Linked DNA regions of Mus musculus: all the other regions are reported to be linked to region 3. Evidence: microRNA targets listed by miRTarBase, many of them from high-throughput screens and not tested one by one. Region 3 holds a microRNA gene; each other region holds the end of a gene's coding sequence.
What was found. The annotated mature microRNA mmu-miR-758-3p reads UUUGUGACCUGGUCCACUA and lies in region 3 at 2,723-2,741, opposite strand. An mRNA with a match to its seed (bases 2 to 7 or 8) in the 3' UTR can be bound and repressed. Matches are read on the target gene's strand: a 7mer-m8 pairs with bases 2 to 8, a 7mer-A1 pairs with bases 2 to 7 and ends in A, and an 8mer does both.

Region 1: the mRNA of Glul is a reported target of mmu-miR-758-3p. Seed matches in the 3' UTR shown: 8mer at 1,175-1,182.
Region 2: the mRNA of Slitrk6 is a reported target of mmu-miR-758-3p. Seed matches in the 3' UTR shown: 7mer-A1 at 890-896.
Region 4: the mRNA of Efcab14 is a reported target of mmu-miR-758-3p. The part of its 3' UTR that is shown has no 7-base or 8-base seed match.
Region 5: miRTarBase lists Zbtb18 as a target of mmu-miR-758-3p. Seed matches in the 3' UTR shown: 7mer-m8 at 3,615-3,621 and 8mer at 3,538-3,545.
Region 6: miRTarBase lists Mal2 as a target of mmu-miR-758-3p. Seed matches in the 3' UTR shown: 7mer-A1 at 3,653-3,659 and 8mer at 2,220-2,227.
Region 7: miRTarBase lists Zgpat as a target of mmu-miR-758-3p. The part of its 3' UTR that is shown has no 7-base or 8-base seed match.

Annotation. Positions count from the first base shown.
Region 1 is chr1:153,907,280-153,911,780 of GRCm38, forward strand. It overlaps Glul (glutamate-ammonia ligase (glutamine synthetase)), which reads left to right. Exons shown (of 7, transcript NM_008131.4): 6 at 7-206; 7 at 585-2,444. The coding sequence ends at 903. Among named protein-coding and RNA genes, the nearest start is that of Glul, 9.6 kb to the left of the region's middle.
Region 2 is chr14:110,745,674-110,750,174 of GRCm38, reverse strand. It overlaps Slitrk6 (SLIT and NTRK-like family, member 6), which reads left to right. Exons shown (of 2, transcript NM_175499.4): 2 at 1-1,597. The coding sequence ends at 424. Among named protein-coding and RNA genes, the nearest start is that of Slitrk6, 7.2 kb to the left of the region's middle.
Region 3 is chr12:109,711,098-109,715,598 of GRCm38, reverse strand. Mir758 (microRNA 758) reads right to left here and starts at 2,789; the gene lies at 2,709-2,789. It overlaps Mir380 (microRNA 380), which reads right to left and starts at 3,796; the gene lies at 3,736-3,796. Mir1197 (microRNA 1197) reads right to left here and starts at 3,282; the gene lies at 3,163-3,282. Mir323 (microRNA 323) reads right to left here and starts at 3,091; the gene lies at 3,006-3,091. It also overlaps Mir329, Mir494 and Mir679.
Region 4 is chr4:115,773,499-115,777,999 of GRCm38, reverse strand. It overlaps Efcab14 (EF-hand calcium binding domain 14), which reads right to left. Exons shown (of 11, transcript NM_001368627.1): 11 at 607-4,162. The coding sequence ends at 3,987. Among named protein-coding and RNA genes, the nearest start is that of Tex38, 5.3 kb to the left of the region's middle.
Region 5 is chr1:177,447,994-177,452,494 of GRCm38, reverse strand. It overlaps Zbtb18 (zinc finger and BTB domain containing 18), which reads right to left. Exons shown (of 2, transcript NM_001355099.1): 2 at 1,731-4,501. The coding sequence ends at 3,824. Among named protein-coding and RNA genes, the nearest start is that of Gm29856, 5.9 kb to the left of the region's middle.
Region 6 is chr15:54,600,162-54,604,662 of GRCm38, reverse strand. It overlaps Mal2 (mal, T cell differentiation protein 2), which reads right to left. Exons shown (of 4, transcript NM_178920.4): 4 at 1,817-3,992. The coding sequence ends at 3,921. Among named protein-coding and RNA genes, the nearest start is that of Mal2, 31 kb to the right of the region's middle.
Region 7 is chr2:181,379,553-181,384,053 of GRCm38, forward strand. It overlaps Zgpat (zinc finger, CCCH-type with G patch domain), which reads left to right. Exons shown (of 6, transcript NM_001048148.1): 4 at 18-137; 5 at 222-627; 6 at 823-1,241. The coding sequence ends at 961. Lime1 (Lck interacting transmembrane adaptor 1) reads left to right here and starts at 1,683. Exons shown (of 5, transcript NM_023684.2): 1 at 1,683-2,762; 2 at 2,935-2,992; 3 at 3,064-3,151; 4 at 3,247-3,608; 5 at 3,706-4,076. The coding sequence starts at 2,665. The coding sequence ends at 3,909. It also overlaps a transcript of Zbtb46 not described here.

The DNA.
Region 1 (4,501 bases), not on the chromosome of region 3:
CTCTAGTGGGAATTCCAGATAGGACCCTGTGAGGGGATCCGAATGGGAGATCATCTTTGGATAGCCCGTTTTATCTTGCATCGGGTGTGCGAAGACTTTGGGGTGATAGCAACCTTTGACCCCAAGCCCATTCCAGGGAACTGGAATGGTGCAGGCTGCCATACCAACTTCAGCACCAAGGCCATGCGGGAGGAGAATGGTCTGAAGTAAGTACCTTCCTTTGGAGCCGTCTGTATTCTCATGGGGTAGAAGGGCTTTGGGTACTCACAAGGCTGTACGTACATGCCTAGCTCTGCATATTTGTTCTAAGCCTGTCAGTTTGTGCCTGTTGGAGAGGCGATAGGGTAAATACTTTAGGAATAGAATTGACAGAAAAGCATTCGAACTAAGTAAAAATACAAGCAAATGGGAAACTTAATTCTTACTGGTGGGAAGAGGCGAGTGATTGGGGGTCTTTCCATCCAGTGGATAATTTGCACTGCATGTTAAAGACTGGCCTGAGGGAGACAGTGCCTTCTTTCTTCTGGGATTCATGCCCGCTCCCATCCTTGTCGATGGACCCTCATCTTCACTGTTTCCACTAGGTGCATTGAGGAGGCCATTGACAAACTGAGCAAGAGGCACCAGTACCACATTCGCGCCTACGATCCCAAGGGGGGCCTGGACAACGCCCGGCGTCTGACTGGATTCCACGAAACCTCCAACATCAACGACTTTTCTGCCGGTGTTGCCAACCGCGGTGCCAGTATCCGCATTCCCCGGACTGTCGGCCAGGAGAAGAAGGGCTACTTTGAAGACCGTCGGCCTTCTGCCAATTGTGACCCCTATGCGGTGACAGAAGCCATCGTCCGCACGTGTCTCCTCAACGAAACAGGCGACGAACCCTTCCAATACAAGAACTAAGTGGACTAGACTTCCAGTGATCCCTCTCCCAGCTCTTCCCTTTCCCAGTTGTCCCCACTGTAACTCAAAAGGATGGAATACCAAGGTCTTTTTATTCCTCGTGCCCAGTTAATCTTGCTTTTGTTGGTCAGAATAGAGGGGTCAGGTTCTTAATCTCTACACACCAACCCTTTCTTTCCTATCTAGCTTTCTAGTAGGGAGCGGGAGGGGGGAGGGGAAGGGTAACCCACTGCTTCATCTCATCGGGTATGCATGTCCGGTAGGCATAGCTGTCACAAAGCGGGTGTACTTATGGTGAAAGAGGACATTTTTTTTTTCTTCAGGATAGTTGAAAGGGCAGGCCCAACGGCTGAGATTGACATTTCCACTGTTGGTAGAGAGCTGTTATTTCTAAAGGGGAAACCAGCTTTCTGTTCCAAATGGAAGTTAGGTGAGGAGTTGAAGGTTGGTTTCTTGCGCTGTGCTTCCTTGGCTTGGGGGAGGGGGCATCCGTCCCCCTCTGTGTGAACACAGCTCACCGCGTCACCTGATGGATGGCCCTACTGTGAAGGAAGAAAAAAGTTGGCATTTCTTGGTCCTCCGTTCATAACACAAAGCAGAGTAGTATTTTTATATTTAAATGTTAAAAACAAAAAAGTTATATATATATGGATGTGTGGATGTATGTCTTTCTAATTGAGAGAACCATCCTATTCACTGGGTGCCAAGTTTGAGTGATGAGGGGCTTGGCTTAGAAGTGAGGCTCCCTTGAGGTAGGGGTGAGGATGCAGTACCGGGAAAGTTGGTTATCTTGGGGTCTCAGCTTCATTACTGCTTAGGGTTTCCCTGCCCACTCTGCAGGAGCAGATGTTGGACAGGTAGCCAGTGGGATGCCACTGCTTGCCACCACCTGTCCCCAGGCTTAGGTTTAGGGGATGCGTATACTTACTCCACACACGAGTTAGAAGTATGAGTTGGCTGGTCAACTTGAACACTGTTACTGATGGGTGGGTGGGTGGGGGTTTACTGGGGTTATTTTTTTGGTGGGATTAGCATGTCACTAAAGCGGGCCTTTTGATATATTAAGTTTTTTAAAAGCAAAACAAGTTTAGATTTTAATCAGATTTGTAGGGTTTCTAACTTTACAGAATTGCCTGTTTGTTTCAATGTCTCCCTCCACTTGGCTCTTAGGGGAATTAAGGACAGGCCTAGAGTTAAAACACTTGTCTCCTAGTGTCACCTCTGCCAGCAGACTGTTACTTTCCTTCTGAAAAAGCCAATAGTCTTTTTTTTTTTCTTTTATAGTAAACACACCCCCACCTCCATCCCAGCCTGTTGCCCTTCAGTTTTCTGGTTGTTTGTGTCGGCAGCGGGCCAACTGTGGTTTCTCTCTTGCCATGATGACTTCTAATTGCCATGTATAGTATGTTCGGTTAGATAACTCACTGTAAACAGACTGTAACTGCCAGGCAGCGCTTATAAATCAACCTAACATTTATAAGATTTCCTCTGACTTGTTTCTTTGTGGTTCCCAAAAAAAAAAAAAAAACCTCAAAAATTAAGTGCTATTTCATTCCTTCTTTCTCTATCAAAAGAAAGGGAAGGGGGGTGGTTCTTGTTTACGGACAAAATGTGCTTATCTGTACTTATGCTTTTAAGATGAAGTCACGTTGACGAGATATTTTGAGACGGGGTCCTAGTGTCCGGCCTTTAACTTGAAAGTTCTTGCTCCAGAGTAGGCAATTCCCAGTTTCATGTTAGGTCTTACATTTTGAAAGCAGTGTTGTCTAACAGTTCAGACTCAAGGATCATGCTATCAAGTGACACAAAATAAGACACAGATACTTTAAGGTCTTGCGTTGGGCCTGGCCACTTTCACGGCTGCCCTCAGCTCTGGGTGACTAGGCTGCTAGAATTTCCTGGCAAATGGGAACCTCTGTTTCACTTCCGGTGCCAGGGCTTGGTTTATCGAACACTGACAGTCCTGGCTTATCAGGATATTTAATACAGCGTGGTACAGTGTATTAGCTGCCCCTGTTCTTGAGTTCTTCCTCGGTCCAGCTGCTGGGAGCTATCTACACAGTAGGTTTGCTCGCCTATTGAAGCCGCTGAAGGCCGTTACACTTGGGGCATTGGCTTGTCCTAGATTTTAATTAACCAAACACTAGGTTCCGTGGAGTTCTCTGTTTTATCCTGGTTTTCCCTGAGTTGTCCAGCCTAGGTTCTCAGGCTTCAGGACAACCAAGACATTTGTGGACCACTGAACCTGGGTTCCAAACCTCCATGTTTACACTTCATGCTCAGCTCCCTAGAATTTCCAGTTTGGGACTCATCCCGGGCTGGGCTTGAAGTCTTGATCTGGATCCTACATTGTGCCACCAAGCCTGGCTGAGTCCTTACTGTGTCCTGTTGCTGTTTAAGCATTTTCCTCACTAAGCTAAAAGAGGCGCTTCCTCTTTCACGGTGCTTCTGTGCATATGCCCAGATAGTAGAAAGTAGCTATCCAGAGCATATACTAGCTCCGCTGTTGCTGGTTTGTGATGGTATCTCTGCGTATCCCTGGCTGGCCTGAATCTTCAAGATCTGCCAGGTTCTGCCTCCCAAGTCCCCCACTGTTGCTGTTGTGGGCAACAGTAATTTAGTAGAGACTGTTGGAACAGATCTTAAAGTGACAGTTTTCTCCAAGCGAGCATTCTCTTATAAAGTAAATATAAACCTAGTAGCTTATAAACCTGCTAGTCTGGCGTGATTGCCCTCCTACTGTAGAGATGGCTCATCAGTTAAAAAGCACTTGCTGCTCTTTCGAGGACCCTAGCTCAAACAGCATGAAACAAACCACTTGTAACTCCAGTTCCAGGGGAGCTGGTGCCCATCTGGCTTTCTTGAGAGTTGGGCATGCAAACGACACCTATACATACATGCCAGCATTGCACTCAACATACACACACAGAGATTTTTTTTTAAGTGCCCTCTTCTACTCTCAGAATCTTCCTAGTCTTCATGTTAAAATAAATATTTGTCCACCTTTTCCCTCCCAGTGGCTGTTTCCCTGGGTCATCCACAGGACCTGAGTCCTTTTCATTGTTTTGTAGCCGATTGCAGCCAGTTCTCTTCTCAAGGTTACTTGAAAAGAAATCCTAACTTAATAGGATCAGGATTCCAGGTGGGAAGTATTTCCTTCTCCACCCTGGAACCTAGAATTACATCTGCTCTCCCGGTCAGAGTTCAATCCCCTTACATTTCTAAGGTTTTTGTTTTTTTTTTTAATTGCTCATTTAACAGACCCAGTTACTTGATAACTGTATCAGTGATAGATTAAACAGAATGAGGGGCTATATTAAACAATATTTGCCAAACTTTCAGCCTTAAAGAGACGGATGTGGGCTCTGGCTCAATGGAGTAACGCCCTGGGGTGTGTGAGGTCCCAGTTGTCTCAGTATACTCTTTAAACTCGACTTCCCAAAGCGGGAGTTTAGCTGTTAGATGCTTGCCTAGCAAGCAGAAAGCTATGTAAATCAGGTATAAGGTGGTGCATGTCTGTACTCTCAGCCCATCCAAAAGTTCATTTCAAAGTTGTTTTCCACTACGTAGCCAGTTTGAGGCCAGCCTGGGCTACCTC
Region 2 (4,501 bases), not on the chromosome of region 3:
AGAAGTTGAGGAAAGAAATGATAAAGAAGGAAATGATGCAAAACATCTTCAAAGGAGCCTGTTAGAACGAGAAAATCATTCACCACTCACAGGTTCAAATATGAAATACAAAACTACAGACCAATCAACAGATTTCATATCCTTTCAGGATGCAAGCTTATTATATAGGAACATTTTGGAGAAAGAGAGGGAACTTCAGCAACTTGGCATCACAGAGTACCTAAGAAAAAATCTTGCTCAGCTCCAGCCAGAGGTGGAGGTTAACTATCCTGGAGCCCACGAGGAGCTAAAATTAATGGAAACGTTGATGTACTCACGACCAAGGAAGGTGTTGGTAGAACAGACTAAAAATGAATACTTTGAGCTCAAAGCTAACTTGCATGCTGAACCCGACTACTTAGAAGTCTTGGAGCAGCAAACATAGAGGGGCTGCTTGTGGGCTTTTGCAGAAATGCTGGGATTCTGACTTAAGTTCACACTTTTGAAATAAGTGCCTTACGTGGGTGTTATCAATCAGAATTCAGCACAGCCGTAATCCTATGAGAGATGAAAGAAGAAAGTGAAACTCAGGGACAATTGAGGAAGCCATGGCATTATCATCAGGCAATATAGCCTGTTCCAAATAAAACAAGTCCTTGCATATAACTGTTGCAAGGAGTACGTAGTATTGCTCCATATGCTTACAAGTATTTCATAGAATTTCTCTTGCACACCTAAAGGGTTGAACACATAAAAAGCTCCAGTTTTCTTGGATACTCTATTCATGACTAAATACAATTAAATTTCATCAGTTAAGCATATACCTGTATATATATACATAGTATGTAAGGAATTTATTCATAATCACATATATGTCAGAAATTTATACTGTCAATCACACTAAATTTTCTCACAAAAAGTGAAAGGGGAACTGGAACTTAAATTTAAAAAGTGGCAATAGTAAGTGAAAATGTACAATTTGTAATTACGTGCACCATTAACGATTCCGAATTTTCAACAAAGGGTGCCATTGCTAAGGTTTCTGAATTCAGACTCACGATGGCAAATAGTTCCTGTGGGATAAATAAGCAAATGTGTGAGTTTAATCTACACATTTTCTGTGGATATCTTTTGATGTAATGCTGCTGTGAACCTAAGGTATGTGATTTGTGTTCGACATTCTATTCTTCTTGGGATATTTTTTTTTAAATGCTACTGAGATTCTACTGTATATATGATTAGAGCACTTAGTAAGTTTGCTTCTTTTCATAGTGTTAATTATTTGTACAACTGGATGATAATGATAAGAAAACATGTCTTTTGTGGCATGTAAATCAAAGGTATAAAATGAATAGTAAAACTTATTTTATTTTTATTGACATACACTGATAGGTCGTGTAGATTAGTAGCAAGAGGCGTTTCTACAGGTAAGTGTTCTGAGCTTCCTCAGGAGAGGGACAGTGTAGCTTTATTTTACAAGAAGGTATCACTAGATTTCTATGAACTATTTATTCTGTACAGTTTTGTATATTTTTGGTTCACAAGATAATTATACTTGGGTGCCTTTTAAGAAAGTTTAAGATTATTGCTCACTTCAATAAAAGTAAAATGAAAACATTTCTCAAAGTGTTTCAATCAATTATTCTAAGCTGTGATTCAGTCATGTTGTGATTATCACCTCAGTATACTCTCTGCATATGGAAAAGGCTGGTTCTATTTGTGTGTGCATAGAAGTCCTGTGTTCATCACACACACGAATCACTCAGTGTAATTGGAATCTGTGTTTTTAACACATTGCAATCCTGAACACTTGTTGGGAGAGAAATTAATGAAAAAAAATGTACTCTTGTCCACTCATGTAACAATGTCTTTCAGCAATGTCTGAGTATTCTACCAGGTATTTCATCTTGCAATACTCAAATTCTTTTCCTACTACCAATACTGTGATATCTGGGCCAAAAGGTTTCAAGACTAGATCTGAGCCTAATCTGTAATCACAGTCACTAGATTTATATTGCAAATTATTTCTTACATGAAAGGAATCAAAACTTTAAAGACTCATTGTAAACCAATATCACTTTATTAATTTCCAGAACTTGGAAAGACAACGTGCTTGTGTTTTTGCCTCAGAATAAAACTTTCTAGGTAAAATGCATGTAATAAGATTTCTTTATGTTTGTAGAAAAACTATTAAGTACAGTGACTGATAATTTCTCCAAGGATGGAGTTTACCCACAATACAATGAGTAAACAAAAAACTCTTGAGCAAAAAATGTGTTATCCTATTTCTCCTACCCAGTTGAGTTTCTGCCGATATTTTTTATCCCAATTACAACCATAGTCGTATTAGCAAGGTCTGAAAATCCCCATGCCTTAGGAATCTTTGAAGTGGATCTGTGCATGCAAGTACATACATGCTTGAAGAAAACTATGACTTCAGGACTATCCTTCTCTTTTCAGTGCAGTAACATTTTATATCTCCATGGATTTTTTTTCATTGCTGAAATTAATAGTCTTAATTTTTCAACTTATTATCAAGAGAAACAAAGTTATTTATGAAACCATGTAAGTATATTCTTCAAGTTACAGTTATCCACAAAATTAAAAGCAATAAAATATGAGTAAAACTTTAAAGGATGTGAAAAATATTATAGCTTCCAAGGTGTACCAATATTTTAGGTAACTGAATATTTATTTCTCAGTAGATATTCCCTTGCCATGTATTTTCCTACTAATTATTAATTGTTGGCTTGTATTTCAAATAAGGTATGATCTGTCAAACATTTTTAATTTAAGTCTTTGATTATTTACTTTTGTTCTATATACCTTTTTTATTAAACAAAATGAGAGCTATTTCATTACTTGTTTACAAAGTCACTTGGCCCCTGAGCTAACAGAGTAACCCAGTGCTCCAATTCTTATTACAGTACTTTCATCTTTGCCATATGAGGTGGTTACCTGAACACACCTTAATTATATATGGTTACTTTCTTGTTCCAAGTAGAAATGATCTTGTTTTCATTGTGTATCGCTGTATATCTTTAGTTATGTACAAAATTAAATTTCTGTAATGTATTGACAGTAGTATAATATTTTCGCAACAGTATTTTTAATTCTGGCTTACTCTATGATATGTAAGTTATAGGAAGATTTCTCAGAAAAGTCACAGTAGCCAGTAAATAACATGCAAGTCCTCGTGACGTTAAGACATCGAGGCCTTCCATTAACCTCCATCACTGGACTGAAATTTTAAAATTTATAGAAGAAAAATTATATCAACTGTGCTGCCTTTTTACAATCAATGTCTTGTATTCTGGCACAGACAAAGCCTCTTTCTACTGATTTCATGTTAAATAAACTGAAGCATCATGTAAGCTGCCTTAAGCTCCCTTGATGCCTTGGCCAACTAATTCAAAAGGCTTAAGATTTGAAGCAGGATTGAAAAACTGACATATGTAAACCCCTTTTCATTAACGTCCCACTTTAGAAGTAATGGCTTATATCCCTTCATGTGATTATAGGACTTTGTTGTCAAAGCTATATGTTTACATTTATTAATTAAAATACCTATATGTGATCTCTATTAATTTATCACACATGTATTTATATCTGATATCTACTAACTGATAAATATATATTCCACGAGATAATATAAATTTGTATTACCATTTGTATGTGGCAACTGTAAAGAGATATTAATATTCTTAATATTAAATTGCACTATTTTTGTATGAGCATTAAATTATTTAAAATACTTTAAAAGATGAGGAGACTAACAACTTGCTAGCTCTTAGTCATGCATTTTTTTTCCAGAAAAAAATATACACAGAATTTTTAACAGAGCCCCTCATATGGTTGATAGTCAATCAAACAATCAGTAGGAGTATTTCCCTACCTGTAAGACTGTAATTTCTGTGTCTATACAAATGCCATCTAGATATCGTCAAGTGGAAAATGGTTTACACAGTGTAAGAAGGATTTTTTCTATTTCTCTTGACCTTCCAGTATTTTATGAGAGTCTTATAAAAATGACAAAATTTTAATGTAAATAGGGAGATTTTGATTTTTCTGTTCCTATCCCAGCCAGATTAACCCTGTATCTGAGGAACAAATTTAAAAAATTACCTCATGACTTTGGAATGGACTTATAATTAAGAACACAAAATTCAGAATCCCACTTTTTCTAATTCTTGATACACTGAAATATTTCCTTGGGTTCGTATCTGCAAATATGACTCAAATATTGTATATTATTGGCATTTAGCTAGAGTTATAATTTTAACATTACATTATTTTGTTAATGACTAGCCACTTACACAAGTAATAACTTGTATTATCCTTATTGATGCTATTATTTATTGAAGGTGGATTAATGCTTATTGTATACAATGCCATTCTTCGGTGTTTATAATGGGGTAGACAGCCAGATACAAAACCCTTTTCTAGCCGCTGTGAAAGCAAATTAAATAGACAATTACTCTTCTGTTAGTAAATGTCTTTCAGCAGATTAGTGAATGAAGAA
Region 3 (4,501 bases):
ACCTCACAGTCCAAAGCCATAGGGAGTAGCCTCAGGCCACCACGGGGACCCTGTCCCTTCTTCAAATGACTTTCCTTCCAGGGCTGAGTCCTGATGCCATACTCCCATGTCCCATGTCCCAGAGTCCAGGGAACAGCAGTCCAGGTCCCTTCCCTGAAGGCGTCATCAGGGACAGGGAGTGCCCCCAGGGTGGGATTTGATACTAAAAAAGAGGTTTCCCGTGTATGTTTCATCATAAATAAAGAGAAGACAACACGGACAACCTCTCCTTCAAGTATCAATTAGCACTGGTCAGAAAGCAAACAAAGGCAGCTGGAAAGTGCCAGGTGCCTTGTCAGAAGTGTCTGCTTCTGTGGGCCCTGGAGAGCAACCAAAACCCCTGTGCAATTTGACAGTCCACAGAATTGCCTGAGACTATTTACCAACAACACAGACCACCTGCATTCCTTATCTCTCCAGGTTTAGGGGGGGTCACTGAAGGGAACCAGGGACCCCAGAAATTGTGCCTCAGGAGATAACAGGGGAATAGTAGCTCTCAACTTCAACAAGTACAGTACATTGGGGGTGTTCAGGAATGAGCCTCGGATTCTGGTTCCAAGAGGTAGGTGGGTGATGAGAAGCGACCCAGCCCTCTGGTTGTGAGTCTGGGTAGTTTCCAGGGAAGGTAAGATTCTAAAAGCAGACACATTATAAAGTTAGTAGGAAGGTAAATGTGTGCCAGCACATGTGGTAGTATAAAGAAGCAGCAGGCAGGGGCAGGCAGTTCCACCCCCTGGTCGAGTGGTTCTCAACCTTCCTAGTGCTGTGACCCTTTAATATACTTCCTCATGTTGGGTAATCCCCAACTGTAAAATTATTTTCAATGTTACTTCATAACTGTGATTTTGCTACTGTTATAAATCATAATGTAGATATCTGATATGAAATGCCTATGAAAAGGGCTCATGATTTGCAGATGAGAATTGTGTTCTACCTGGAACCCCACAGAAAGCTCTACTGCTGACCACAACCCTGGGTGGAGTTAAGGACTAAGAACAGATTTCACATCTTTTGTTTATTTGTTTGTTTGTTTGGTTGGTTGGTTGGTTTGGTTTTTTTCGAGACAGGGTTTCTCTGTATAGCCCTGGCTGTCCTGGAACTCATTCTGTAGACCAAGCTGGCCTCGAACTCAGAAATCCACCTGCCTCTGCCTCCCAAGTGCTGGGATTAAAGGCGTGCGCCACCACTGCCCCGCTCCAGATTTCATATCTTAAAGCTCACTGGGCAAATGTGTGTGCCAATTTCAGGTTTGCTTTCCTACTGCTAGAACACTGCTGATTCCAAGTCTCTTATTACAAGGATGTGGGTGTGTGTGAATAGCATGGATCTAGGTACCATCTGACACAGTGGGTGTTCTCTACAATAGACAGTCCTATAGCAGGGGTTGGCTGATTAAAAGCCCATCACCGTGCCTCCAAAGCATGCTGGACATGTGTGGGGGTGGCTGTGTCTAACCTGTTAGAAGCAAAGTGGGTGCAACCTACCTGTGATGACCTGGGGTAGAGTTGCCTCGGTGGCTGCCATCTTCCCCAACTTTGGAACACCATATTGGTTGAGAAGTCCTCCTGAGAATGGACAAGATACTGAAGGTTAGAAGCACAGGCAACAGAAATCTGATGTATGGGATGGGTTTTGTCCGTCACTCACTTGTTCATAACTATTAGTGTGTCCTCAGCTGAGGCTGAGGTATGGACCAGAAGGCCTCCATAGTTTGTTCTGATGGGAAGAGAGGTTGACCAAATGTGTTTCAAACACAGAAACCCCTCTTCCACATCCTCAGTTAACAATAACAATGACACCTTCCCAAACTGGACCTTCAGACCTGGCAGGCCTGGGAGGGTTTAGAGGACAAAGGACACCATTCAGAACGATAATCCACTCGCTGGCTTTGTGGAGAACCAGTTATTCCTGTCCCCTGGCTGGATGCTGACAGGACCATCCTTCCCTGAGACTGGGATCTGGACCACGAAGCCTCCAAGATGGGATTTGATACTGAAAAAAAGGTTAGCTGGGTGTGTTTCATTCTCATCAAAGAAACAGAGACCCAGAAAACCTCTCTTCCGGTACCAGAAGCGAACACTGACAAGACTACCTCGGTAATTCCCCAACGTGACCTTCAGACCTGGCAGGCCTGTTGAATGCAGGGTTGCACACTGGATGTTAGTCAAAGTGCTCAAGCAAGCCATTAGTTGATATATATCTGACAGCCATCCCATCACATGCCCCAGTACAGCAGACCTCCATGGCATGATCCTGAAGTTATGTCACAACCAGAGAGCAGTGGCGCAGTAGAGACTGGCTATAGGACTTACCACCATTTTGGGTAACCACAGAAAGGCACAGATGCCCCCAAACCAAAGATGATTCCTCCCACAGATTTAGCATGCAAGTGTGCTAAGGTGACCTGCGACCTGTGCCATATATAAATGGCATACACACACCCTGGTCATGTCTGACAACATGGTACGTTTCTTGAACTTGGATGGCCCCATATCAAGGAAGGGATCCAAGTATAGGACAGCATTGGAAGCCCATCCAATACTACCATAACAGGCACATATGTTGCAAGTACTGAGGATGCTGTCTCCAAGTCTAACAGCGTACAGCTGGCTTATTGCCTCTGTCCCCAAAAGTTGAGATCTCTTCCAGGAAGTTCTCCAAGGGAAGGTTAGATACTGAGGGTTAGTGGACCAGGTCACAAACGGCACAAATATAGCGTGTGCTCTCTGGTCAACCACCTCACGCACCCACACGTGTATCACATGTCGATGCCACTTTCCTGGTCTGCAAGTCACCCTGCCCACGAAGCTGCCAAGCCAGAGAAATTTGCTGAGAAGAAGGCTGCCACACAAGAGTTATTGTCAGACACAAGAAAAGACAAACCCGCTGGCTGGGTTGCGCTAGCACACACATTTAGTGTCCCCACCCCACAGCTGGTGTTAGCTCCAGGAAAGCTCGCAAGGCGGGATTAGATACCGCAAAGAGGTCGACCGTGTAATGTGCGCCATAAATGAAGCGAACGCGCCACGGACCACCTCTCTCCAAGTACCAAGCAGCAGCAGTAGGAAGACCGGGACACTGGCTCTTCCTCAAAGCAGATGTCACCTCCTGGAAGTCTTCCAAGGCGAGATGTGATATTGAGAAGAAGTAGACCATGTGTCCTACGTCATAAATAAAGCGTACACACCATGGTCAACCGCATCTTCAAATACCTTGAGGTAACGCTGGCTGATTCCAGCTCACTTTACTTAATTTGGTGTTACCTCCAAAATGCCTTCTCAATGAGTGTCACAAACTACCAGCAATCGGCATGTGTGGCAATGGCCACAAACTCATGTTTAATGCCACTATGACTTCCAGGATGCCCTGTAAGGCTGGGCTGGGTGCCAAATATTGGCTTTGGATCAAATGGCCAGAGTCGTAGGTAATGAACATGGCCTGTAGCCAAGCACTGGGTAATCTGTGTTGGATAGGGTCTGCCGCCTGAGCCCTACTCTCAATTGGTATGGCTTTCAGAAAGCCCCTGGTGACCGGCTGATGCAGAGATGTGGTGGACCATGCTGTACATGCTGGAATTAACGCACACACTCGACAGTCTACCATCTCCCCAAGTACTGTGCTGAAGCCAGGACAGGATATCTCCCATGAAGTTGGCTCGGTCTCTGGAAAACCCTCACGAATGACTTTGATAACGAGAAGATGTGGACCATACTACATACGACACAGAAGTAGCGCATGTTCTATGGTCAACCATCTTTTCAGGTACCATGGAGAGAGGGTGGTGCAGGAGCTGGCTTCTTTCCTCATGATTATCACTTCCAGGAAACCCTAGATGCAATGTTGAAAAGAGACCACCATGCATTGCCTGCTGCAGATGCAGAGAATATAGCAAAGAGAAGTTTGCAAGGACGCGAAGAGAAGACCCCGTAACTAGCACTGTGCCTTTAAGGAAATATTGTTCACAGGAAGCCCCCAAGGCGCATTCACTATTATGGGAAGGTGGACCAAATTAACATGCGCTGTAAGTAAAGCAAGAAGCATGGACAACCTCTACCCCAAGGCATTTGTCCTTCTGCCTTGCCCCCCCACCCCCAAGGTTAATGGGGCCTCTTTGGAAACCTTCAAAGCTGAAGTTGATATTGAAAAGAGTAGGCCAGGTTACAAATGGTGTTAATAATACACATGCAGTTTGCTTGATCCCTCTTCAGGTACCGTGAGGTCATTGCTGATGCAAGAACCAGAGCCCTGTCTCTGAGGCTAGCAGCATCTTCAGCAAGTTCTCCAAGGCTGGGCTGGAGGTAAGAAGAAGTGAGCCAAGAAGCAACTTTGATCTGTAAGCATACATGGAGGAGCCAGGCTGGGTCATCTTCCTCTAGAAGGCTAGACTTGATATGGAAAAAAAGATACTATATACGAAGCATCAGTGGAAACAGGGACTGTGTCTTCATGCATCTGTCTTTGC
Region 4 (4,501 bases), not on the chromosome of region 3:
CTCCCTGAACCTGGAGGGGATATATAAATGCCTCATTTATGGATGGCCATTCAACCCTCACTTTGACTGGTTATGGGTCTCTGTGGTATGGCCTAGGACCTTCCTAGCCACAGGCTTTTGACTGGGATTACGAAATGAGTCATGCATTTCCTGTTGTGGAGTGGGCTTCAAGTCCAAACAGAAACTGCTTGGTTATCCCTGTAAGAGCTGCTACTCCTGTACCAGTGGGTACACCTTGCCTGTCTGGTCAGCAGTATTGCACACAGGATCCACAGATGACAGTTGATGGCTCTCCCCCCACCCACCCCAGCAGCCTGCAGACTACCTTCATGCATTATGATGGCTATCCATCAGGAAGGAAACTCCCGCCCAGTTCCAGCTTGATTTCTGTCCTGTCAACAGAGGATGAGGTGTCTTCAGCAAAGGTCTTAAGAGAGAGGTCTGGTGGGCAACCAGTGGCAGAGACAATTCTTGCTTTTTGTTGTTGCTGTTGTTGTTAGTCTTAGGTGCCTACTTGGCAAAAATAAAGCAGATTCTTGATATTGTTTTGTACCTCCAACTAATAGCCCTTGATTTCAAGAGGAAGTAGCAAGCAGTCCACAAAAATAAAGATTAAAGCAGGTTTCCCCCTTTAATTATCAGGGGAGCAGGGAAAATTCTAGTCAGACACAGTGAGAGAAACGTAATGTTTTATTTAGATAAATTAAAATGGCTATATTGATAGGAAGTAAGTAAAGCTCAAATGAAGTCATGGAAACCTTGAATCCACTCTAAACAAAACCAAAATTGCTTATGTATTACCAAAATAGTTCCATTAATATAAAGTAGATTTACCGTTCTTAATATGAGAAAACAACAAGGTAGGTTAGGTTTATATAACAAACAATACACACTCTCTAGTCTCAGGAATACCCAAATGTGTTCTGGCTTGAATATGAGAGAAGGGACCACATCTAGATGGTTGGTAAGCAAGCCAATGAGGTGTGTAGCAAACAAAAGCTGTCACTAAAAACAACTCAATAGGCCATTATAAGTGTGAGCCCATCACAGTCAAAACCTTCAGCTGTGACGCTGGGACCAGGGAGGGGGCTGATGGGGCTGTCCAGCAATGGTAAAGAGCAAACTGCAATGGAAGGGAAACAAGCTGGTCGTGAAGTGAGACTGTCTGCCTCAGCTCTTCTGCATTAGACCCATTCTTAAGAGCCAAGCATCCATTGCTCTGCTCCTCCTTGAATGTTACTACAGTCATATTTAAGCCAGGTACTTTTCTGAGACAAGATCTCACTATGGAGCCCAGACTGGACTAGAACTCATTACTTTCCTGTCTCAGTCTCCCAAGGGCTGGGATTACAGGTATGTACTACCATGACTGGCTTGTGAATGGTCTTTCAGTAAATATTATGGTAGATGGTACATAAAGCAAAGGACCAAGGGTAACACTTTAAGAAACTAAGGTGGGAAGTACTCTTAGCTACTGACTGATAAGGCCAAAGGATTGAAATCCAAAGCCAAACTCACCACCACTACCATTGAGTTCTCTTAGAGGTGATCTGTGGCTGGTGAAGCTTGACTAACACAAGGCACTGGATGCACAAGGTAAGACAATAAACAAATGAAGACCCAATCTTCACCGATTGATAGGTTTTTGGGGCTCCTAAGCCAGTGAGTCTGTCCAATTTCTAGCAAAGGATAGCAACCTCTGCCTAGATCTGGTAATGCCATAGTCAGGATGAGAAACGTATAGAATGTCAGAGGGCAGTTATGGCTACCTCTGGTCAGTTTGATAAGAGACATCACATGGCTCAGGGGTGATGCTGGCAGACAAGCTTCTTGACATGGAAAAACCAGAAGAAAGTCCAAGAAACAAATCCTGCTTCCTCACTGAAAAGCATATACCACAAAGAGTTAAGGTGTCTTGAAAGTATCTGCCTACAAATGAGAACTTGAAACTAAAAAGGACAAGCTACATTACCCTCAGTATATTTCATATAAATCAGTTCTCAAAAAAAAAAAAAAAAAGAAAGAAAGAAAGAAAGAAAAAAAGAAAAACCTTCCAGGTACAGACATACTATTTATGGTACAATATATACAAATATAGCAGAATAATTCAATTTATTGCTAGAACTTTATTTGGTTGTTACAAAATCTGTACGGATGTGTGTGTGTGTGTGTGTGTGTGTGTGTGTGTGTTTAGTATGGAAGGCAGCCAGGAGAACAAGAGTTACCTAAAGAGCCAGGATAATGTTTGAACTGTATTTTTAACCTTTCCAAGAAGGTGACAGCATAGATGAGCAAGGCAAACATTAAGGCAAAAAATTTAAAGAGAGAGAAACATGAGCTAAGAAGACTCATGCACAGGAAAACTTGTCTTGCCTTCACTGAGTTTTAATGTCTAGAGAAAAAAAAAGCCAACACTAAGCTGAATATCATATATAAAAGAAACAAAATATAAAAAGCAAGGCAAAGCAAAGCGAAAACCAAATGTCTTTAAAGGTTAAAGGTACTAGACTGTATCTATAGCTGACAGGGCAACTTGATCGAAATTAAACAGCAATGATCTTTAGTAAAGAAGCCCTGCCATCACAACAGCTTCTCCAGTGTTTCCCTGACGGCTACAGCAACCTGCGGTTCTGTAAGGTCTTCTGCTGGAGCTGCCAGAGACGCCTAAGAGCACTGGGAGTGTCTCAACATGTCAGCGAATGGTGATCTGCTCCTATCAGACCTGTCCTGGCCTGCCCACAAAGCATGTAAGCGGAAGCATCACAGATGCTCTTTAGACCTGGGAAAACAGCCCCATCACCAGAAGGCTCCTGCTCCAAGCACGCCTGCTCCATGTGGTATCCTCTGGACAGAAAACCCATAGCTCCTTTTGAGTGAACAATTAGGAAGAAAGAATATGATTTCCTGTTTCATCAGACCACATTTTGGCTTTAGGCATCCTGCCAAGAAATAGAGCAAATTCTTGGTTATCCTAAAGGTAAAATCAAAGGGTACTCAGAGCTTTTCTCTAGTGCTCTGGGCAACTAGTTTGGGATAGCAGCCAAGGACATGAACCTTCCCATTTCTGACTGGACATGGTGCTGAAGGTAGGCAGTTACAACTTTAAGGTAGTCTAGAGTGGGTGGGCAGAGAAGACCCACTTCTTGAGGGGAAAACATATAATTTCCCACCGAGTAACTTTTACGCTCATAATCCTTGAAAGATAATTAAAAATGAGGAAAATCCCAGTAAGACTTCTCTGGTTCTTAGGTTAGGAATAGGAGCAGTGGCCCAGAATCTGACTTTCCTGAGTTTGGAACTGGCACCCTCTGCACAGCATCCATACCTGAACTGATGCCCCAGCTTCAAACCCTATGGTGGTGCCCAAGCATTTGAGGGCTGCCTTAAGGAGGTGTGAAGAGGTTCAGTTGCCACCCAGAGCAGACTGTCAGTTACTCATAACAAGTCATTCATTCATTCCATTCAAAGCCAATCGTCTTTCTACACATTATGCACAATCTTTCATCTTATATATTTACAAACAGAAGAGACTCATCTTTCAAAGAAAAGACATATTCTGAGGCTCTATAAAGTGCATCTAATTTAAGGCAAATTCATATGAAATATAAACTGACTTATTATCTCTATATACATACACTTTCCAGCTTTAAAAGGTAAATTCTCTTCCCCTCAAAAAACAGGAAAGAGAGAAGAGGGCTTTATTTTTTTTTCCTGGCAACTTTAAGTTACAACATCTCACTGGCTTCATGAAATCATAGATTTCTAAACATCATACTTTAAGTAAATTTTTTTAAAAAAATAATTTTTTAAATAGTGTTTTCAAACAAGTTAAAAGGTGACAATGTGTTTGTTATAGTAGTATAAAGGACTGGAGGGCTGAAGAGTTAGTCAAGAAGGTTTTTGTTTTTGTTTTTTTCTGTCTTTTTAGTTAAGTAGATTTTTAGGTAGTCCAGGCTACATATCCGTTTCAAATATACCTGATGAGACTAGATACCTAAAGCTAATCTTAGTTCCAGGAAAGAGTATCTTCCATCTCCATTCGAATCAAATGCTCTCAAGCTCTCTGGTCTTGGCATGGCAGAACCTAGGGAGTTCCAGAGTTCCTGGTAGGTCAGCATCCCATCCACATCTTGACCAGTCTTGTGGAATAAATCCTGAAGATCTGTTAAACGGGAATTACAAGAGAGACATGTAGTATGTTTATGCATACAGTTAAAAGTAGCTTAAACTGACTTCCCAGCATTAAAAGAAAGGCTACTTGGCCGGGTGTGGTGGTGACCATCTTTAATCCTAGCATTTGGGAGTGGTTGGGTAGAGGTAGGCAGATCTCTGTAGATTTGAGAGTAGCCTCATCTATACAGTTAAGTTCCAGATCAGCCAGGGCTTATCTCAAACCCTTCCCCTGCAAAACAAAACAACTCTCCCAACTTGCTGGGAGGGGTAGAGAGATGGCTCAGTGGTTAAGAGTGCTAGCTGCTCTTCTAGGACTGTGAGTTTGGCT
Region 5 (4,501 bases), not on the chromosome of region 3:
ATCTTTTTCTAACCTTCCAAAAACCTGTTTTTAGAGGCCCACGTGAAGTCCGTTAAGGGTAAACTCTACTTGGTTCACCTATTAATCTGATAGCATAATTAACTAGGAAGGAAATCCCCAACCGGCCTCCTTAGTGTCTTCTACTCCTTGACTATTCCCCAGGGTACAGCTAGCACACAATGCTGGGCCCACAGCAATCTAGGGCCTAATTGATTATCTGAAAGAAACAGATGTTTTCAAAAGTAAGTGAAACCATATTTTTAGCATGTATTTAGGAATCAGCCAGATGTCAAAGGAGGGCCTGATTTTACAGGTTTCCAACCGGACTGCATGACAACTTTCTTTCTTCAGTGCAGTGGAGAACAATGGATTCTTGTGCATCACATGCCAAATGTGACCCTTTGTGTAATAACACTCTATGCCTGTTGTGCGGTATTGTAATACGTTATTTCTAAATCATAGTCAGAATGCTGTTGAGTCTATCCTGTGAAGCCTGCTAGGGTAGTGCTCACTTAAAATGAAGACAATCATGAGACTGAATGATACATAAGCCCTCAGTCTCTTCAGAAAGCTTTAACTCACAGGAAAATGGGAAGAGTCTCTCACTAGCTAGCTGCTCAGGGAATAGCTATGTAGAGACCAAATGAAAATTGCCCCTTCATGTGCAATGTTCAGTTGTTTAAAGCCAATTTTGAGGTGTGTTAGTTGTATTATTTCCTCCATTAAAAGCAGAATGTATCATTCCAAGCTGGAAATTTTTATTGTACTCTATGATAAAAATCTTGTGTGTTTCTAGCCAAAGCCATCGAAGAGCTTCTAAATGGCATGTTTTATACTCTGGACACCTCCCCTCCCACACACACACACACCAAAAAGTTAATCTTACTGTGGGCTTTTTGGTGTAATTATCTTTGACAGTAGTAATGGAAAATTATTATTTCCATATTTGTCTGTAGGATTAGGATTTATGGATAGTTGAAGATTTTAGTATTTATACAACCTCAGGACCTGGGCCCCACTGCTATCTAGGGCCAGTGTGCCGAAGTCCTTGTATATCCATGTGTTCTGTGAATTCCAAGAGTCAGTCAGCCCTTACCAGACACAAACCCAACAAGACAGGCAAAAAATTGAGGAGGGGGCAATGACAAAGGGGAAGGACAGCTCTAATGGTGCATTACTTAAATGTTTTAAAATTTGAACTCAAACACTAAGATCTTTTGAGTGCTGGTAAGAAGAACAGACATACACAGCTCATCTTGAACAACTGAATGCCTGCTAATTCAATTGCCTAGACTTCCACTCATTAGCCAAGCAGTCTTCCAAATTAAGACATCCGGTCTCCTTCAATTTTCCACTTAAAGCCAGAACATGGGAGAATGGATTTGACCAATCAACTTAGGATAAAATCTCGCATGAAAAGTGACTTGTATTGTGTATGGGTTAGTAGTTGTATTATGAAAACCTACCTTTGCCACTTCAAGTTCTTTGCATTTATAATTTCTAGGGAATTATCTCAACAGTCTTGATCTACACTAGAGATGGGTTATATTTTTCAATGTGCATTTAGTGTCTCCTTAAATAGTGAGAATGTGCACATTTCCATTTGGGTGACCCTAAAGCAGTCTAATACTTCATAAGCTGAATAAAACTTGACATTAAAATGAAGACGTCATGCACTATACTAACTCCAAATCTGTTGTGCGACTATAATACAAAAAGCACACAAGGAATTCTCAGTTCATATAATTTATTGCAGTTAGCACACAGTTTAAAAATTCACCAACACACCAATAGTACAAAACTAAACAGCATTATAAGTTATTCCCCCTCAGGAAATAAAACATACTATGATTGTCAAAGCTAGATGTCAGTCTAAGATTTAGAACAAAGGAAGAATGTGAAACTAAGTAAAAGAAAGAGCAATCACTCACAATGACCATTAAAAAAGAAAATCCAAAAAAGTCCGTTCTTCCACAGACATTGATTGTCTCCTCTAGATTAATAAAGATTATTTTAACATAAACTGTATTAAAAAAAAAAAAACTAGAAACTCTTCAAGTAACTAAAGATAATGCTCCAAGGCCATTTTCACAGCTTTGTTTGTTTGTTTGTTTGTTTGCTTTAAATGCCATTACAGCCAAATTAACATACATTTGACCAAATATTTCCAAAACAGTCCAGCAACACACAATGGAGTTTTCCATTCAGTATCTTAAGCACAAAAATAGGCTATGTTTACAGTAGTTAAGGCGATCAAATTTTAAACAAAAGCAATTAAAAAAGAAAAAGGGAAAAACAACCACTGTTTCCCATGCTACTCCCATAGACCTTATTTGTAAGTGCAAGACAGGAAAACAAACAGTGTGCAAAACGCTTCTGCCCCGCGCTGGCCATCAGAACCACACATCGGGCTGCAGCCTCTGCTGCCGATACACAGTCTACTAACCCCCCTCCCCATGTCAATCAAGGCGGTTCAGTCCTTTCAGCCTGGGGCTTTTTCAGTCCATAGAATCTTTTCATGAGTTAGGGGGTAGGGGGAAGGAAAGGAAATAGGGGAGAAAAAGAAAGGGGAAGCAAAAAGGAGGGAGAGAGAGAATGACCTATGACCTATTGTCAATTTGTGCAGTAGTTATTCTAAAAACACTCGGCTGGGTACGTGTGTACACCTAAACTCTGAGCTGGCATGGGTTCTGTGCAATTACAAGTGTGGTATGAATGCACACTGCACATGCAATTCTTTAAGCCGTTTGTAAACATTTATATGTTCCTTGTAATGTAGCGAAGTTATCAATTTGCAGCTTAAGTTTTTATTCAGCTTAACAGTTTCAAACTTAAAGACGTGGGAAAAGTCAATTTAAATTATATAAAATAAAAATAAAAATAAAGACAGTGCATTTATGTTCTTCGTAACACCAGTTTTTTTCCCAAATGGTGCTATTTTTCTAAGGAAATTAAATAATTTTAAACTCACTCGTTAAAGTTATACAATGCAAACAAAGACAAAAAATATATTGAAACTCATGCATTTCTGTAGCGTTAATATTTACTTTTCAAGACTCAACTAAGAGCATCAACACAACCTGTCAAGTTCTTTGACACCCCCCCCAGCCCGTGTAATCAATTACAGTATACAAGAACAGTAATTCACATTTTAAACACACAGTTCAACACTGCTGAAGCTGCAATATCCTTTTTCATCTCAAGCAAACCTTCACAGAGACAGTCCCAGTGACCCAGTGTACTGTCAGATTTCTCTCACTGGGGACCATCAGAAAACCAGAAGTTGCCACACAAAGTTTTAAGTCAACTGCTTGTTTAAAAATAGATAATCCAGCATTTCAGAAATTTTCCATTTGGGTCTAAAAGCATTCAGGTTTCCAACAGCCAGAAAATATTCATGCAATTTGAGACATATAAAGAGGCTAATAAACTGGAGGGGATTTCTACTCTGAAAACAAAACAAAACAAAACAGTGTGGAGCACAGGGAAAGCGCTCAAGACAATGCAGTGTGTACAAAAGTAAGCCATGTGAAAGCGTTTGTGACAGAACCATTTGTTGAGAAGGTTTTATTGGCTAACTTGGCCTAACCCTCAAAAGAAAGACAGCTCTCTACTTGTGACTTGCTCTAGTTTCTTTTATCAGAATGCTAAATTAGTGAGATTCTCATGCTATTATTCTAAAGTGCAAAAACAAGTTAAGATCCCAACTTTTCAGTTCCAGGAAACAAGACTGCTTTTAGACCGTACCACAACTATATAGAGATCTATGTATATATATGTATATATATATATATATATTATTTATATATATATATATATAAAATTATTTCCAAAGTTCTTGAGAGCTATCTTCTAAGGTCCAGTCTCTGACAGTGGGCAAGCTCAGCGCTTCACTTTTGACCGACAAGGAGTTCACCAACTCACAGTGGAACTTGCGGATGTGTCTGTACAGGTCTCCGGACTGCGTGAACCTGCGCTCGCACCACTTGCAGGCATGGGGCTTCTCGCGGGTGTGCACCACGGCATGACGGCTCAGGTTGTGCGAGTACTGGAAACTCTTGCCGCATTGGGTGCACGTGTAGGGCTTCTCCCCCGAGTGAGTCCTCTCGTGGCGCTTGAGGGTGTACATGCAGGAGAAAGTCTTCCCACACAGGGAGCACGTGGGCACATTGACATCGGCGGCAGGCTTGCTACGGATGCCATCCTGCTCTCGGAAGTGCGTGCTCAGGTGGATCTGCAGGATGTGGGGGCTGGGGAAGACTTTGTTGCACAGGGGGCACATGAAGATCTGGCCTGCGGGGCTCAGGATATTGGAGACGTAGGGAAGCAGACTGTTCTCCATGCCCCCTTCCACCTGGACCCGCTCGCTCTCTGGGGTCATCATCTCATCATCGCTGGCTTTGTCCTCCCGATCCAGTTCCCTTAAGACCGAGTCCTCCCTCAGAGGAGCCAGGTGGGCTGGCTCATACTGTACCCTGTTGTTAGTGCTCACACTCTCTTT
Region 6 (4,501 bases), not on the chromosome of region 3:
CTGACAGCTTCTAGCTACCAGGGCCTATAGAATCTTTGTTAGGGTTTGAGTCAATGAGCAGAGAATTGCCAACGATATGTCATGGTGATGGAACAGGGCTTGCCAAGTTTACGAATCTGAGACTTTTCTGTGGCCTATCTTGATGCTGGAGGTCACGATTAGCTCAGGAAGACTTTCTCAGAGGAGCTCAGGCTGAGGGTCTTCCTACCTGAGCTGACTCCTTCTGCCCTCACTAGAGCCATCCATGCGTGTGGAGCAGGACACCTTCCTACTTATATTCATTTCCCATAGTCATTACCTCCCAAACCAACTCAACTCTGGTTCCTCTTTCCCAGGGACCTGCTCAGAGACTTACAGGATCTTTAGTGGGTGATATGGGAGGTGCAAATAAGCAACTTGCCTTTTTCATACTTCTGTTGAAAGAACTATTTTTTGCCTCTTCTTAAACGTAATATAACCAGAAAACTATGCCCATGCTATGTGAGAAAATTTCAAATTTTCTCAGCTAACTTTTGAGGTAAAGGTGCACAACAAAAAAATAAAATATATTGTATTAGGAAAGAACATGGACTCATGTTTACAAAAAGGAAAATGGGGTAACTATCATCTCTTTTGGAAAACCAAAGTGCAGTATTCATGATAACAGTTAGGACCTATGACCACCAGCCCCAGATTATACATCTCACCTCATTTTCTTATCCACAACATCCATCAAACAAGCATACGGTGTCAGTCCACTTCCATGACTTTGATGTTGGTCATCACACATTAGAAAGGTCTGTCCAGATCAGTTTTAGGGATTGCTATGCAATCTGGCCAACTATTAGCTGACTCAGCATGAGATAATGAAGTTCACTGAAGTGTCTCCTGGCCCCTTTAACATAGCCCCTTCCATACCAAGATGAACAGACTAAAGAACAGAGCAGCGAGGAACTCCTGTGTCTGTCCGGACTGTAGCTGCCGAACAGTATTCTCTTCATGCAGGTTTGACCTGAAATTCTTTTTATTTTTTGAGACAAGGTTTTACATACTCCAGGCTAGCCTTGAATTTACTTTGAAGCCAGTGATGACCTTAAGCTTCTGCTACTTCTGCCTCCACTTCCTGGCTGGTGGGATTGCAGGCACATGCCACCACATTCTGTGGTTCTGGGTATCAAAACCAGAGCTAGATATTAGAGGCACCACCATATCCCCTGCCTCTGCCCCTAGTGGTTGGTCTATATTAGTTTAATTAAAATCAGGGGGCTGGTTTAGGACAAAAAATAGTCTAAGACAAGATATGATTATGTGGTTAAACACTCTGCTAAATACTTTTTGAAGGGCAAAGGAGGTAAAAATCTGGGAGAATGGAGGCTTACAGAGAAATCAAGAGACAAATGTAAGTCTCTGAAGCTTTGCTTTCTCATGGTAAGTGGAGGACTCTGGCTGTCCTCCAATGTGTTTTAGGCCCCTAATCTTTAACATAAGGTAATGGTATCTAGGCCTTCCAGTAGTTCTAATGAGTTGTAGGTGAGACAATAATTTTTAAAATGCTTTAAACACCACCTGACATACACAGTATACAGACAGGCCAGATGCTTTTAAAATACAGCAGAGTACACATTTCACCTCAATTTCCCTCTCATTTTACCTTCTCATGCTCACCCCAGAAAAGGCTTACTGATATTTTCTGAGAGATCCATTTTACTCAGAACTATCAGAAACAGAGCCCATTCATCGGTCTGGAACTTCAATCTGGTTCCTACTAAATAGTTAACTGAATGTTAAAGTGAATGGCATTAAAAAAAATAAAATAAAATAAAAAAGAGTGACCCAAAAGGTTATCAAATGAATACTTTATTAGAGTCATAACACTTATAAAATAAATTTATCAGATTTTAAGACCAGCCAACACTTTTTCATTTTTACAGCTAAGATACGTAGAGAGATTCTTAAACACCTTCGTCTTTGTTCAAGTGCTTCATCGCTCAGCTCACAACATCTAGAATGCAATGAATCTACAGACCTAAGTATTCACAGTTAGTCAGCTTTGAGTTTTCTTTTTGCTAACCTAGAAGCCATACATTTACAAAAGTACCACCAATACATCTGAATGAATTCATTTGAGTTAATACCACACTGAGCATGGCTTGGTACACCTGGGGGAAAACAAAAATCTCAACTAAATTCTAGTGGACTACATTTTAGTGATTCCACGTACAATGTATCTTTATGGCACATTTGTGACTTCATAGTATATAATTCATAATACAGGTTTTTCAGTGTGTGGTCTGGAGCTGGAAAAACAGGAGGGAAGTCTGGCATTTTAGAAGAGCTAAGACATGAGTGGAAAGCCATAAGACTGATTTCTTCAACCTACATATAGAAATACATCTCGTCTTCAGCTGTATTACAAACTGAGGTCCCCGTTGGTTCTTCTTCTGGGGGAGTATTAGATAAACAGCACTTGAACACTGGGCATTGATGCTATTCATTCATGTTTTTCACTATGTTCCAGGGAGTCCAATACTCCAACCATACATGGCACTCTTAGGTGATGGGTCAGCTCGAGAGCAATTCCCAAGCCTCCATTTCCAAAGGCAGCCCTACTAAAACAATAGGGAATTGGCCTGTATGAGAATGCGGTGGGAACTGTGGTCACTCATGATCTGTTGCCAAGCCTGCGACACATACAGGTGGACTAGGATTGTTTTCTGTTCTATTCAGCCAGATCCAGTTTTTGTTTTAGCTCTTGTGTTAAATGTCCTTTGCCTGTCTGACACCAATGTAAAAACAACATAGATATCTGGGCTATTATCAAAGCATGTAAGAATCTATAGCTTTATGTTATAGTTAATCTGTTACTCAAATTCAGCTCAGAAAGCAATGCAAAAACAATAAGAAGTTAAAAATTCAACTCTTCAGAGAGCTATTTGGAAAAGCTTTACATACATAAATATTTATATATTCATGCATAGGCCAAACAACCACAGTCTATGGCATAAATAAACCAAAAGAAAGACATCAGTAGCAAGATACTAGATCCAGTAGTGATTAATTGCCTCTGGGGATCATGTCTTAAGTACTCTCGTGTGAGTGCCTTGCTGAGCTATTAGGAAATCATTAGTTTGGAGTTTATTTCCTACCTTATTTTGCTCTTCATCCAAGGCTCTGCTGGGGTTAGCTTGAGAAATTATATGACCTTCCAAGGGTAATATTTGACTATTAAACAAAGGCAATGTGATTGATGCATAATGAAACAAAATATGTTATGTGGCTTGTCTAATGAGGTTTCATGATTAGTTCAATAGAACACAGAACACCTAAGGTTTTTATGGCAGTAGTTGATAAAATTATGGTCTGTAGACCACATCCAGTTTTGCTCCCTTTTTGAAATAAGCTTTATTAGGATACAGACATTTATTTACACATCATCTGTAGCTGCTTTTATGTTATCATAGGATGGAACAATTGCCACAGAGGCTATATGGCCTATTAAAGCCTACATATGTGCTACCTGGCCTTTTTGTAAAAAAAACATGTGTATCATTTCCTGTTTTATACTAAAGATAGAATTAGATGAGAAGCCTGCATGAGATGTATTGTTTTAGTTATTTACTATTATTAAGGTTCGGGTGACTCAACCAAAAAAAAAAAAAAGGAATACTATTGTTTTGTGAACAGTGCCTGTGTATTTTAAGAATATACAATGGAAATGCATTTAAAAAGAAACGAGAGATGAAAAAGGAAAGGATACTTCTCTAACATCAGAACAAAATGAAAATCCCACCCATGTAACAAACCACAGCTTGCACTGAGGTCCTCTCTGTACTAAGCTAACAATGTTTGGAATGTTATATTGGGACAAATGGTACCCAAGTGATCAGACATATAAAGTAGACAAATGAAACCAGCACACAACTGTCAGTTTCCAAGGAGTGTTACGGTCGCCATCTTCGCAAAGCCAGACCCAAACTGCAACCATAACAAGCTGTTGTCATGAAGGCAAAAACCTAAGAAAAGGAAAAAGAAACACTGTCATCAGATTCACAACATGGACTTTTAGAAGTTGCATCCTGAGAGACCACTGAACAAATCCTCGACAACTGACCTGTAGATACTTCAACAGGACAAGAGTTTAGAGTGATCTGTGTTTCGATGACTTTGCTTCGTTACCTCCCAGAGCTGGCCCTCCCTTTGTACACTATAGCTCTTAGCTTTCATATCTGCAGGCAGCCTTACTTTCACCATTCGCTCACATGTCAAGCTTACTTGTTAAGTATTTATGAAACCCTAGGCAGTGTATTAAAAAATTCACTCTGAGTTATCTCATCATCCAGTAGTTTCATAGCTAAGAAGACAGTAACTATCAGACCCCAAGGACACATCAAATCATTTCTGTCATCTTTAGAACTCAGTAGACAAAACCCATAGGAATGTGTTCTGAGTTCTGTTCCTCCTCAGGTGGGAGACAGTTGTCCCAGGCCAAGCCCTCTTGGAGCTGTTTCCTTGGTGTCACGGT
Region 7 (4,501 bases), not on the chromosome of region 3:
TCCTCTGTCTCCTGCAGTGGTGGAACCAAGCACGGTGGACACTGGGACCTGCAGTTCTGCCTTTGCTGGCTGGGAGGTACACACACGGGGCATTGGCTCCAAACTCCTCGTCAAGATGGGCTATGAGTTTGGCAAGGGTGAGTGCCTGCTGCCCTGAGTTGAGAGGGAGTCCTTAACACAGCTCAAGGTCTAGCAGGTAGCACAGCCTCTGTCTTTCTCAGGTTTGGGCCGGCATGCAGAAGGCCGGGTGGAGCCCATCCATGCTGTAGTGTTGCCTAGAGGGAAATCACTGGACCAGTGTGCAGAGATACTGCAGAAGAAGACAAAGCGAGGCCAGGCTGGGTCCAACAGGCCTCCAAAATGCCGGAGGAGTGGTAGTAGACCTGAGGGCCGCCCACCCCCCCGGAATGTGTTTGACTTTTTGAATGAAAAACTGCAAAGCCAGGTTCCTGGGACCCCAGATGCTGGGGTGGATACCCCAGAGAGAAGGAACAAAGACATGTATCACGCCAGCAAGAGCGCCAAGCAGGCTTTGAGCCTGCAGCTCTTCCAGACTGAGGAGAAGATTGAGCGGACCCAACGGGACATCCGGGGCATCCAGGAGGCCCTAACCCGGAACACTGGCCGGTATGTGTGGGATCCAGCTGAGGCAGTATGGGCTCCAGTGGCTATGCCCAGAGGATACCTGCTAAAGGTTACCTGACCTGAGTAGCAGCTGAGTCTGAGGTGGTCTAGATATTAGAGGACAGGCATTGGCTATAGCAGCTGAGGGCTTGGAAGTGGGGAGCCAGGAGGCAATGCTGACCAGCAGGCTCTCCCTAGGCACAATATGACGACAGCCCATCTGCAGGAGAAGCTGGAGGGAGCCCAGCGGCAGCTGGGTCAGCTGCGTGCTCAGGAGGCTGACCTACAGAGGAAACAGCGGAAGGCAGACACTCACAGGAAGATGACAGAGTTCTAGCGGCCCTGCCTGTATTGTGGATAGAGCCCTGGGACCCAGCTCCAAACTGCCTTGGCAGAAAGACAGCTGTCACCCTGATGCCTAAACAGCACCTGGAAGAGGAACCAGCCCCTTCTTAGGATGCCCCTTAATTAGCCTTGTCAGCCTAGAGTGTGAACACTGCTGAGTAGAGGTGGGACATCAGGGCTGATTTTGAACACTTATCTGCCCACCAAGCCCACCTACCAGTGTCTTGGGGTGTCTCCTTAGGACATTAAAGTGATTTCATCACAATTCTCTCAGTGGAGACTCAGCTGGCTTCAGGATTTCTGGGGACACAGGGATCTGTGTAGGTCCTGGGAGTAGACAGGTGGGCAGTGGGAGTACCAAATGAGGCCACTGCCTCTGTCTAGGGTCCAAGAGTCCAAGAGAAAAACATTCTCCCTTTTCCCTTCTCTGACCAAGTGGGTAAGAACCTAAGGTGGCTCTTCAGTCCCAGTACTCACAAGCAGGTAGGGTGTGTGAGATGGAAACACCTTAGGAATACAGTCAGTGAGAAAAGCAGGCAGACCTGGCTTGGGTGGGTTTGGGGTTCATTTCTGGTTTTTGGCTGCCACGATAATCCATCCAGTTCACCTGCTTTGTTCACCTCATTAATGGGTATCTGCCTCATTGGGGTGGAGGGGACTGTGCTGGTCTTTGTGGTAATTGCCTAGTGATAGCATTAGCCATGATGAGGTGTGAGGAGAGCAGAGACTGTGGGAGCAACTGCGCAAGAGCTGTGTGGCTGCTGGGAGGTGCTCTGAGAAACACAGGAAGTGAGGTGAGGCGTCACCAGCAGCCCACAAAGATCTTCCTGGCTGTCCTAGACAGGGCCAAGCAGCAAATCCCCGGTGGCCTCGGTAAGTGCTCCCTCACCCTTTATCCTGGGCCAGCCCCCAAGCCTCTCCATGCTCTGGGGTCTGGGAGGGTTAGTCCCTGCCTGGTTAGGCCATTGATAACTTGGCTGTAGCCAGGTTAGTCAGCTTGGGCCCACTCAGTGAAAGAAGCCTACACTCCAAGCCTGAACAGACAGGCCCTCACCTCAGAAGGCTGTTGTTCACCCCAATTTTACTTACCTTTAACGTCTGGGTGAGACCCTAATCAGCTCTGCAAAGGGTAACTCCAGGGAAGCCCCAGAGCCCCGGGAAGTGTGGAGTAGGGTGGGAGTACGTGGCCCTCATAGCAGCTCCTCCTGTTCATTGACACACACCTCCCCCACCCACCCTTTCTGTAGTGAGTAGTCTAGGAAGATTGCCTGACACAGGGGTCACTCTGTGGGCATTGGTGGCCGGAGGTGAGACCTGTGGTCTGTGGCTCAGAGTCAGAGTGAAGTCAGAGATTCCCCAGGTGATGGGCTTGAGCTCCAGTTATACACCCTTGTTCAGTTGAGGTCATAGCTACCCTGGCCATGCTCCTCTATCTCCATCTCCATTCCTGATAACTAACAGGGATAGGCAGAGCACTTCTTACCAGGAACCCTAGCTAGAGAGGGAAAGGTGGGTCCCCCTAGAGCACGGCAAAAATGCAAGGCTTGGGGGTTTCCGGTGTGCTGAGTCAACCAGGGAGAAGGAACCCACTAGTGGGCAAGATCTGCAAGTAGGCTGCAGCTGTACACTGCTCTCGCAGCCAGCCCCCAGTGCTCATCTCTTCTGTCCCCAGGGCTCTCTTCCCTGTTTCACAGGATGAGGCCACCAGTGCCTTCAGCCCCACTAGCTCTCTGGGTCCTGGGCTGCTTCTCCCTGCTCCTTTGGCTATGGGCACTGTGCACAGCCTGCCACAGGTATGTGCCTGGGATTCTGTCTGCCCTCACCCTGCATGGTTCAGAGCCAGAAGTCACGATAGAGAAGTCCATATGACGGCTCTATATGTGCTTCCACACTGAGCCTGGGCCAGCATCTGACTACCTGTGCACCTTCCTCTGCCTACTAGACTAACAACACTCTTGCCCCCAGGAAGAGAGCTCAGAGGCAGCAAACTGGGCTGCAGGACAGTTTGGTACCAGTGGAAATGGTGAGTGCCAGACTGTCCCAGGGGCCAGGGTGAAGACAGCAGGGAATCAACCAGCCTTCCTTGCTCCCTAGCCACTGCTGAGACAGACCCACCTCTGCTCCCTCAGCAAGTCTGACACCAGACTGCATGAGCTGCACCGAGGCCCACGCTCCAGCATAGGTGAGTTCCTGGGAAACCATAAGTGTAGGGCTGGCTTCAGCCTCCCACCACTAGAGCTGGCCCCTCAGTGACTTCTGCCTTGACTTCATCCCTAGCCCCACGGCCTGCTAGCATGGATCTTCTGCATCCACGCTGGCTAGAGATGTCCAGGGGCAGCACCAGGTCTCAGGTACCCAACTCTGCCTTCCCACCACGGCAGCTGCCCAGGGCCCCTCCTGCTGCTCCTGCAACTGCACCTTCTACTAGCTCTGAGGCCACTTATTCCAATGTGGGGCTGGCTGCAATTCCCAGGGCCAGCCTGGCTGCTAGCCCTGTGGTGTGGGCTGGAACACAGCTGACCATTAGTTGTGCCAGGCTTGGTCCTGGGGCCGAATATGCCTGCATCCAGAAGCACAAAGGGACAGAGCAAGGCTGCCAAGAATTGCAGCAGAAGGCTAAGGTGATCCCAGCTACTCAGGTAACGTCTGCCTGGGTAGGGCAGGTTAGATGGAGCTGAGCCCGTCCTCGGCAGAGGACAATGCCAAGCCCTCCTTGGGTTTGTCTCTTCTCTCCAGATGGACGTCCTATACTCTAGGGTTTGCAAGCCTAAAAGAAGAGACCCAAGACCCGTCACAGACCAGCTGAACCTGCAGGATGGGAGAACAAGTCTGCCGCTTGGGAGTGATGTGGAGTACGAGGCCATCAATCTCAGGGGCCAGGATATGAAGCAAGGGCCCTTAGAAAATGTGTATGAAAGCATCAAGGAGATGGGCCTGTGAGCAGCTCAGGCCTTACATCCTGTCTTTAACATGAGTTAGGAAGAGTACCAAGGCTTCTGCTTCAGGATGGTTTGATTGCAGATCCTTCTGTGTCCTTCCACCTCCACAGCTGGCAGCACAGCTATCAGGGCCAGTCCTTGAGGCCTAATTAAACCTCTGTTCAATAAGGTTGGCTCTTGGTTGCTTTTTATCTATATCTATCTATCTATTTTGAAAGCTGGGAAGGTTAGAGTGGGAATTTTCTGAAAGGATTAGAGATGTCCTCTTCTAGTCTTTGATTCTGGTCCTTGACCCCTGCCCTGAGGCCGTGAGCTGGTTGTTAGACTCAGAGTTCTGACAGGATTCTGGGCAGGAGGGAGAAGACCAGATGTTTGCCATGGTGGCTTTCTAGGCCCGAGGGTCTGGAACGACATGGCCAGTTGGAAGAGTGGGGTCTGAGCCCTCAGATCCTCCTGAAACCTCTGTCCCCAGCCCTTGAAGTTACTTAAGTAGGTGGCTGTTGACAGTCTTGAGTTAAAGAATAACCTGTTTGCAGGAGGCCAGTCAAGGAGGTGGTAACTTTGCGGGCACCCCAATTCCCTGGAAAAACATG